Oryzias latipes: one gene and its partner. The protein of the gene in region 1 binds, or shares a complex with, the protein of each later gene. Links are inferred from orthologs where the notes say so. Each region holds a gene or a part of one and is shown on either strand. Other genes may lie near its edges.

Evidence for each region. The genes of interacting proteins can lie anywhere in the genome.
Region 2: med12 (region 1) and med23 share a complex: the UniProt entries of both Homo sapiens proteins name them as parts of the mediator complex. The link is inferred for Oryzias latipes from reciprocal best matches to the Homo sapiens genes MED12 and MED23.

What each region holds. Positions count from the first base shown.
Region 1 is NC_019868.2:8,256,252-8,259,901, reverse strand, and holds part of med12 (mediator of RNA polymerase II transcription subunit 12), read right to left. Parts: intron 2,731-3,650; coding exon 2,612-2,730; intron 1,925-2,611; coding exon 1,781-1,924; intron 1,693-1,780; coding exon 1,529-1,692; intron 1-1,528. UniProt on the Homo sapiens protein: Component of the Mediator complex, a coactivator involved in the regulated transcription of nearly all RNA polymerase II-dependent genes.
Region 2 is NC_019882.2:15,919,024-15,923,104, reverse strand, and holds the start of med23 (mediator of RNA polymerase II transcription subunit 23), read left to right. Parts: upstream 1-1,280; 5' UTR 1,281-1,404; coding exon 1,405-1,464; intron 1,465-1,858; coding exon 1,859-1,890; intron 1,891-2,121; coding exon 2,122-2,209; intron 2,210-2,299; coding exon 2,300-2,424; intron 2,425-2,710; coding exon 2,711-2,822; intron 2,823-2,926; coding exon 2,927-3,025; intron 3,026-3,131; coding exon 3,132-3,233; intron 3,234-3,335; coding exon 3,336-3,405; intron 3,406-4,081. Other genes in the region: interleukin-20 receptor subunit alpha, read right to left, coding at 487-535. UniProt on the Homo sapiens protein: Required for transcriptional activation subsequent to the assembly of the pre-initiation complex. Component of the Mediator complex, a coactivator involved in the regulated transcription of nearly all RNA polymerase II-dependent genes.

The sequences.
Region 1 (3,650 bases):
TGCTTTTAACGATTGCTTTTAACTTGAAAGCTGCGTCATATTGTAGTGGCGGTCACGTGCTGTGGGTCTGAGAGTCACCAAAGGATTGTGGGATGCGGTTGAGCATGGGTGCTTCTTTTATTGCACCATGACTTAAGTGTCTAACAACTGAAGTGAGGTCCATGCTGTTTGGCTGCCTGAGTGTGTGTTAAAGCAATCGCGCTTTTTGCTGGACATAGAACTTTGCAGGCAGTCTCCCCTCCGAGTCTGCCGGAGCGCTTCAGGCGGCCGAGAAATAAAAGCATAAATTAGCCGCATCATTAAATAAGCCGCAGGGTCGAAAGTTGGTGACAAATATAGCAGCTTATAGTCCGGAAAATACGGTCAAATGAAAACAAAAAGAACAGAACAGTATAATGAACTCAATGTAGTGTCAAAATTCTAAACTGAAAGATAAAATGGCTCAAAACAACAGACCTTTAACAGGAACATTGGCCATTTTAAGTCCCCTTACTAAACTTCAAATATGTCACAGTTTGACCATTGACTGGAGAGGAGGCCTGGACCGAGTGAGTGTGATGTCACCCAAAGAAAACGACCTGTTTGGTTCCAAATGAAGTCAATTCGATCACAATCTTTTGGCATCAGTCGCCGCCGTGTTGGAACCAGACAGCGTCAGTAAGTACCGTATCTTTCACACCGAGAGGCGCACTTCATTTTAGTTTTTTCATAAAAGGACAGGGCGCCTCATATATGAATTCATTCTGATGGTGTTTACTGATGTTCATTCTGATGTTTTTGAGAAGTAAACAGCACTCTGTCAAAATGTCAGTCTTTTTTTTTGGGTGTTATTGTTAATATGCTAACATGGCCAACATGTAGAGGTGTCAGACTGTGGTTTTCTGACGAGTTACTAACCAGGCTGGAAGTTGCAGGAATCTTGAATACCTAAACGTGGCTAATGTGTTGCGTCTTAATAAAAATAATTAGAATGACTGTGAACACAGTTAAGGAAGTCAGACTGATTTCGTTCAGTGCGCCTGATAAACGACAGGATTTCCAAAACAGACCAATAATTGACTGTGCGCCTTATAATCCGATGCGCCCTAAAAGTGATTGGTCGGTCAGAGTGATTGTTTCCATGGCAACTGCTCTCACCAATCAGGAGTGGGCTTGTTAGAAAGCCACACCCTTACCATTTGAAAGCGGGCTCGGGATAATCTGTCAAACGTTTGATGTGATAAAATACTTTTGAGGCATCTGATTGGTCAGTTTATCACTTCAATAACTTAAACTACAGAACTAAATATTTTTAGACAAGGGGGTTAGCAAGAACATGTTAAAAAGGTATCAGAGAATCAGGAATTGTTATTCTGACCAATAGAATGACTGAGTACTAGCTGTTTATTAAATTTAATTTTTTTTAAGATTACAATGACACTAATTTCCATTAATAAGACTTTTTTTAGGCCAAACTCCAACATTGAATCCATTTATCCTCAATGTTTAGTAAAAGGCAAAACGAAGGTTTTGGTTGCGACTGCCTCACCCATCAAACACTTGTGCCGTCTGCTCCGGGTTGAGGATGAGGCAGGTGTGGTATCTCCTCAGCACAGCCACTATGCACAGACACAAGCTGGTGGTGTAGCTGCCAACGAGGCTGGACGACTTCAGCAGCAGCTCAGCTTCCACCAGACTCAACTCATTCAGCAGCTGGGACAGAAAAGAAAGAGCTTAGTGAGAAAATACAAGACCTGAGAAAAATCCCATTTACCCTGAATAACCAAACTGCTGTGTTTACCTGGATAGCAAAGTCTATGAGGCCACTAATGTTGAGGGAGTACTCCATGAGGTCAAAGATGAACTGAATGTGCTGGACGAGGGGCAGGTGATAGGACATCCCCAAGGCAAAGCTGTTGATCTGCTCCAACACATTTCTGGACACCTGCAGACACGCACAGACATAAGACCACTATTCTGGGAGTGTGTCAACTCCATCGTTTAGCCTCGACAACAGCAGTGGAGTCAAACTGCTCTAAAGCGTCACACAGTTACAATTGTGTGTTTGGGGCGATAACTGCAGAAACAAATACAGACCAGAGAAAATAAAAAAACAAAAAAGGACAATAAAATCACATTTTTGTCATCGTCGGTATACCAGCCTGTGCAATACATGCATCGCTGAAGACAGCGTAAACTACAATAAATGGTCGCCTTAAATGTTTACACAGATGCTAATACAAACTCATGGCAGCTTGAAATATCTAACGAATCAAATGGAGCCGTTTATGCCGCTGACCAATCAAATGCAGCCCTCATTTCATTCATTCATTCATAATCTACATAGTGTTAGTAGAGTTTGTCACAGATTTGCGGCTCCTGAAGCCTGATCTGTTCAAAGATGATAAAGCAACATTACTTTTGCTTTGATCAAATATATATATATTTTTGTAGTTTCAAAGCATTTTATGGCTGTTATTAAACCTGTGCTGTTACATAAGAGCATCTGTTCTCTGCTTTACAGTTTGCACAAAAAAACAAAAAAAATGATATCATCATGTTATTACTACCTTTTTTTTTAATATTTAGGATTGAAATAATGGATTTTCTGAAGTGAGATTTCTGTTCTGACCTGAGAGGTGACCTGGTGCTGGTCAAAATGGGAAAGGTGCTGAAATTTGGAGAATAAATCCTCTGCAGTGGGAAAAGCCTCTGGCTTGCTCCTCTTCCTCTTTTGTCCTTCTTCACCTCCTGCACATATGGACAGAGGTGATGAGGTTAAAACGGGAAGCAACAACCCTAAAGGTCTGCCCTCTGCTTGAAGTCGGCTGACTACGTCCCCCTTCACACGTCCTTTCCTCTCCAAATAAAACTCCACTACAAAAGAGATACATTAAAGCGTTTCTCATTTAAGAAAAAAACTAATGATGTTATTCTGAACTGTGAATAATCTGTCATGAAGAGAGTTCTGTAATAGAAAACCTAAACCCACAGTCCTCATTTCTGAAATCGTGTGAAAAGATGAAAGTAATTTACAAACTCAAACACATGGAGGGAATTTAAATGGAAGATAATCAGTAGATACTTCAGGACCCCAGACATTGTATCCAAGATGAATCCTAATGTACCAAGCCTGTGCTGGAGGAACTGTGGATCAGCGGTGCCCAACCATACACATGTTTTCTGGACTTGCCCCTAAACTGCAAATCTTTGGGATGAGGTGTACAGAGCTATAAAACAGATATTTCAAGTCGATATACCAAGAGATTTGATGGTAGCGCTCCTTGGTATCATCCCAGCACAGATACGAGGGAAGACAGAATCATACCTTCTAAATGTACTTTTTACAGCAGCATTAAAATGCATTACAATTAGATGGATGAAAACAGAGCCACCCACCCTAGATATCTGGATTCAGAAAGTAAGAGAACTCTTTCAAATGGAAAGAATAACTTTCCTATTAAGACATAAAATGCAAAACTTTAATGTATGATGGGGCCCAGCAAAATCATTGATACCGTCATCAGCTTGATAATACCTCTAGCTAGTCAAATGCTGTCATGTTTAGATTTTATATTTCTGTTTAAGGTGAAGAGTCTTATGGTAATTCAACTTCCTGTGTGTATCCTCCTTTGAAAGTACCCACTGGATTAAGGTTGATTATTGTGGAA
Region 2 (4,081 bases), on another chromosome or scaffold:
AAACAGCTCATACACTGCATTTTTAGCTTTACATTTAGTTAATAATGATAGACGTTTTTGATTTGTTATTGATCAATTAACAGCAAACTCATCTAGAAAGGTAAACATTATGGAAAAAAACCATCTATGTTTTTTATAAAGTTGATTATTTTTGTTATCTTGAACTGTTAAATAAGGTTTAAAATTATTACATTTACAACCAGATCACACACGTTTATAAACTTGTTGTCTTTAAAAAAAAATCAAAGATTTAAATAATTCTTTAATAGCTGTTAAAAGTAACCTATATGTTTAAAAAAAAGTCTGTTAATTGATCATTTTGCTTTTTTATTTTTTATTGAGAAAAAGGAGATAGTCAATATGAAATGACAGAAAGCCTTGGGAAAATTAGATCGGATTTCTCCTTTTGGACACATTTGACCAATTTTCTCATCCAGCGCGCGAGGATTTCTTTTAACACACAATAACATGTCAACAAATTCTTACCTGTGCAGGTAAGACCCAAGAGGTTCATTAGCACGAAGGCTGTCCACATCCTTGCGCGCGGGGGTTAGTTTATTTTTAAGGAGAATCAAGCTGCGCAGTCCCTCCACCTGCCGTGGACCAGTGACTTTTCACGCGCATTGAAGAAATCGGGTTGCCTCTCAACTAAAAAGAAAGTAAAATAAAAAATCTGTTAAACTAAAAGTGGAAAAAAGGAAGTAGAGGTAAGAATGCGCTCAATGAATGGGAGCGCTCTGCAAAAAAAATCCCCTTTCAACGACGCGTTAATTCCGTGTTTGAGAAAGGAATGTGGCTGTACCTGTCCGCGCGCACGACACCTGAGCAGGTGCAATTAATGTGGGATGGTCACGACCTCGTCATTTTTTTATTTTAGTTTACCACAGCCAATGATTTTGAAACACCCATTGACTTTTCATCTAAATTATGTCACATTACTGGGATAATTTGCAAACTAACTGTTGTCACTGATTTCGAATAAACAAGAAAGTTTATTAAGTGGTTGAGAGTTAAAACAGTAGAGTAATGTTTTGATCAGTGCCCTTAATAGTTTGTGGGCTACAAGCAGTGCGTGTATTTGAAAATAAAGAATCCCCGTTTCTTGAAACAGATAGTTTATCTGATCTTCAGCATAAGTTTTTTTTTTCTTTTTTAACAAGAGACCAAAGTTCTCGGTGTTGCCCGCCGCGACTGTTTATGGCGCTGAATTAACATGACTTTTAGTAGGTGGACATAAAGTTAGAGCGTAGCGGAACTATTTAGTGTGTGTTTCAAGTGTTCACCCGGATCACTTTTCAGTTGCACACGAAGTGGCGCTTCGTTCTCCAAAGACATTAGCATGCCGTTTGTTTGGAGCTCTGTTTGCAACAAAGCGTAGTGACTTTTGGTCAGATTTCACTCTGAATGATCGATATGGCGCTTTCGATGGAGTCTCAGTTGCAGAGCATCTTTGAAGATGTCGTGGTAAATTGCACCTTATAACAAAAATGGATCCACGACAGAGGATCTGTTAGCATTGATGATGCTTGTTTTTATTGTTGTTAGTATTTTTGCGAACTATCTTTTTTTTGTAGATAACCTGCATTAAAATACACAAATTAAATTACACGTGAATAACACTTGTTAACAAACAAATGTATCAGGTTTGGATTATAATCTGTTGTCAGTGGTGATGCTTTTGTTAACAAGGCACTTATCCTCAAAATGAATGAGTCTTTGTTTAGGTATTTTTGAAGCAAAGGCTATTTTCTTCCTTTGACTGCTGTCAATAGGAAAATTTTATTTTTGGTTGTTTGTATTTTGAATTTTGATCTCTTTTAACATCATAAATCATATTTTCTTCTTCTCAATCTTTCAGAAAACTGAGACAATAGAAGAAGCTTTTGCTGGGTAAGCTTGTTACTAACTTTTATTCATAATGAGTAATAAACATGTTGAAAAAAGGTCAAAATGCTTTGACTTTTAGTTCTGATTTTAAAAAAAAAGAATAGAAATCTGTAGTTTGTTTAATTTATTTTCTGCTCCTAAAACATATTTCACCCCTAAACATTGTGTTGGATTGACAACAAATGGTTCTTATTCCTAAACTAAAAAAGTGAAGCTGGCATTTTCGGGTTTCAGGATGTTCATGGACACTCCAGAGGATGAAAGAACTAAACTCATCAGTTGTCTGGGAGCCTTCAGACAGTACTGGGGAACTCTGCCACAGGTTTTTAAACTTATTTTTTTTAATATCTTAAACATTTATACACAAAGATACATCATATTCTGTATATTTATTCTTTTTTTTCCTCTTCAGGATTCTCACGAGCAGTGTGTTCAGTGGATTGTGCGCTTCATACACACTCAGCGCAGTCCCAAAAGGATCTCCTTCTTGTATGATTGTCTTGCAATGGCTGTGGAGACTAGTCTGTTGCCTCCCAGGTGCATACACTCATTTATCATAGTCTGCCCACATTCTTTACATTCATTTATGCAATTTATGAAAAGATAAAAGCTCCATATAAAGTTTTTTGAAGCTGAGTGTTTCCTCTTCCTTATATTTTCACTATTAAACACATTATTTTTTATTCATTTCTGCAGATTCTAATTCAAAGTGCATTTCTGCTTTGACCACTTTTTGAAAATGACAGTATTAGCTTGTTTGCTTATTCATTGTGAGGCTTGAAATTGTGTGACTCATTCCTTTGATGAATTCATTTGCTTTCAGGATGGTGTGTGTAGCTCTCATTAGCTCAGACAGCTTGGAGTGGGAAAGAACACAGTTATGGGCTTTAACCTTCAAGCTCATCCGCAAAATAATCGGAGGGGTGGACTACAAGGTGTTTGACGCACTAAAAATAAATCTCCTTTAAGCTTGAAAGACATTAATGGACTTTAAAAGAATTTAGTTTTGTTTTTAAAATCTGCTCTATATTTTCCTTAGGGTGTACGCGATCTGTTGAAAGGTGTTCTGGATAAAATTCAGACCGTCCCCATTACTGTCAGCTCAGCTATACTCCAGCAGCTGCTGGCCGCCAGGGAGGTACAGATCATTCCCGTTTTCTTGAATTCTGTAATTCAGATCCAGTTTTTTATTTGTCTTGACACAAACCGTAATTCTCAGATAGTCGTTTCTGCCCATTTTTCAGGTGGTGGAGTACATTTTGGACAGAAACGCCTGCCTCCTCCCAGCATACTTTGCTGTAACAGAAATAAGAAAACTGTACCCAGAAGGCCAGCTCTCACATTGGGTATGTGAATAATTACACGAGTGTGTAAATGTACATCCCTAACATCTTCAATTCTTTGAAACATGTCTTTGATTTTTGGGGTTTTCTGTGTTTGATTTTTAGATTTTGGGCAGTTTAATATCAGACTTTGTGGATAGTTTCAGACCTACAGCAAGAATCAACTCAATCTGTGGTAAAACTCACACACACCCAAACACACACACTTAAGGATTTTACAATTTTTTGTCTTTCTAAAGCATTTAACTATGCTAGATTTCTTTCAACTACGGCTGGATTAAAACAGCAAGGATCAGTTTAACAAATCAATAAATTAATTTTACTTTAACCCCTTCTTGCATGAACTTTATTTTGAAATTGAAAACATTTTTTACTTTCAATGTGATGCTAGATTTCTCTTGTACGGTATTAAATGATATTTTTTTCAGGCATAAAAAAAACTGCTTTTTGTTAATAAAAACATGACCAATCTTAGTTCTAATAATAAAACTTCCACTTTTGCTCAATTTGAAAGATAATTTTTCTAAGAACAAATTTTTCATAATCAAACTTAAGTGGTTTTAAAAGCAAAGTTTGTCATGCAAATCATTTTGTGAACTTGTAATTTGAAATCAAATCAGTAGTTTGGTTGCGATACCAAGCCCTTCTTTTAACAAGAAATTCTTACGTTTAATTTTTAATTCTAATTTAATAATTACCGGTAACCAAAAACCCACATAATGTCTGTAAATTTTGTGTGTAATGCAATAATTTAAAAAAAGGAAGTCCTCCGACTCCGCCTCTTCTTTGTGCTTGTTTAACAGCTTGCTGGTGTTTAGATAAACTGGAGGAAGTTTAAAAAGTCAAGTTTT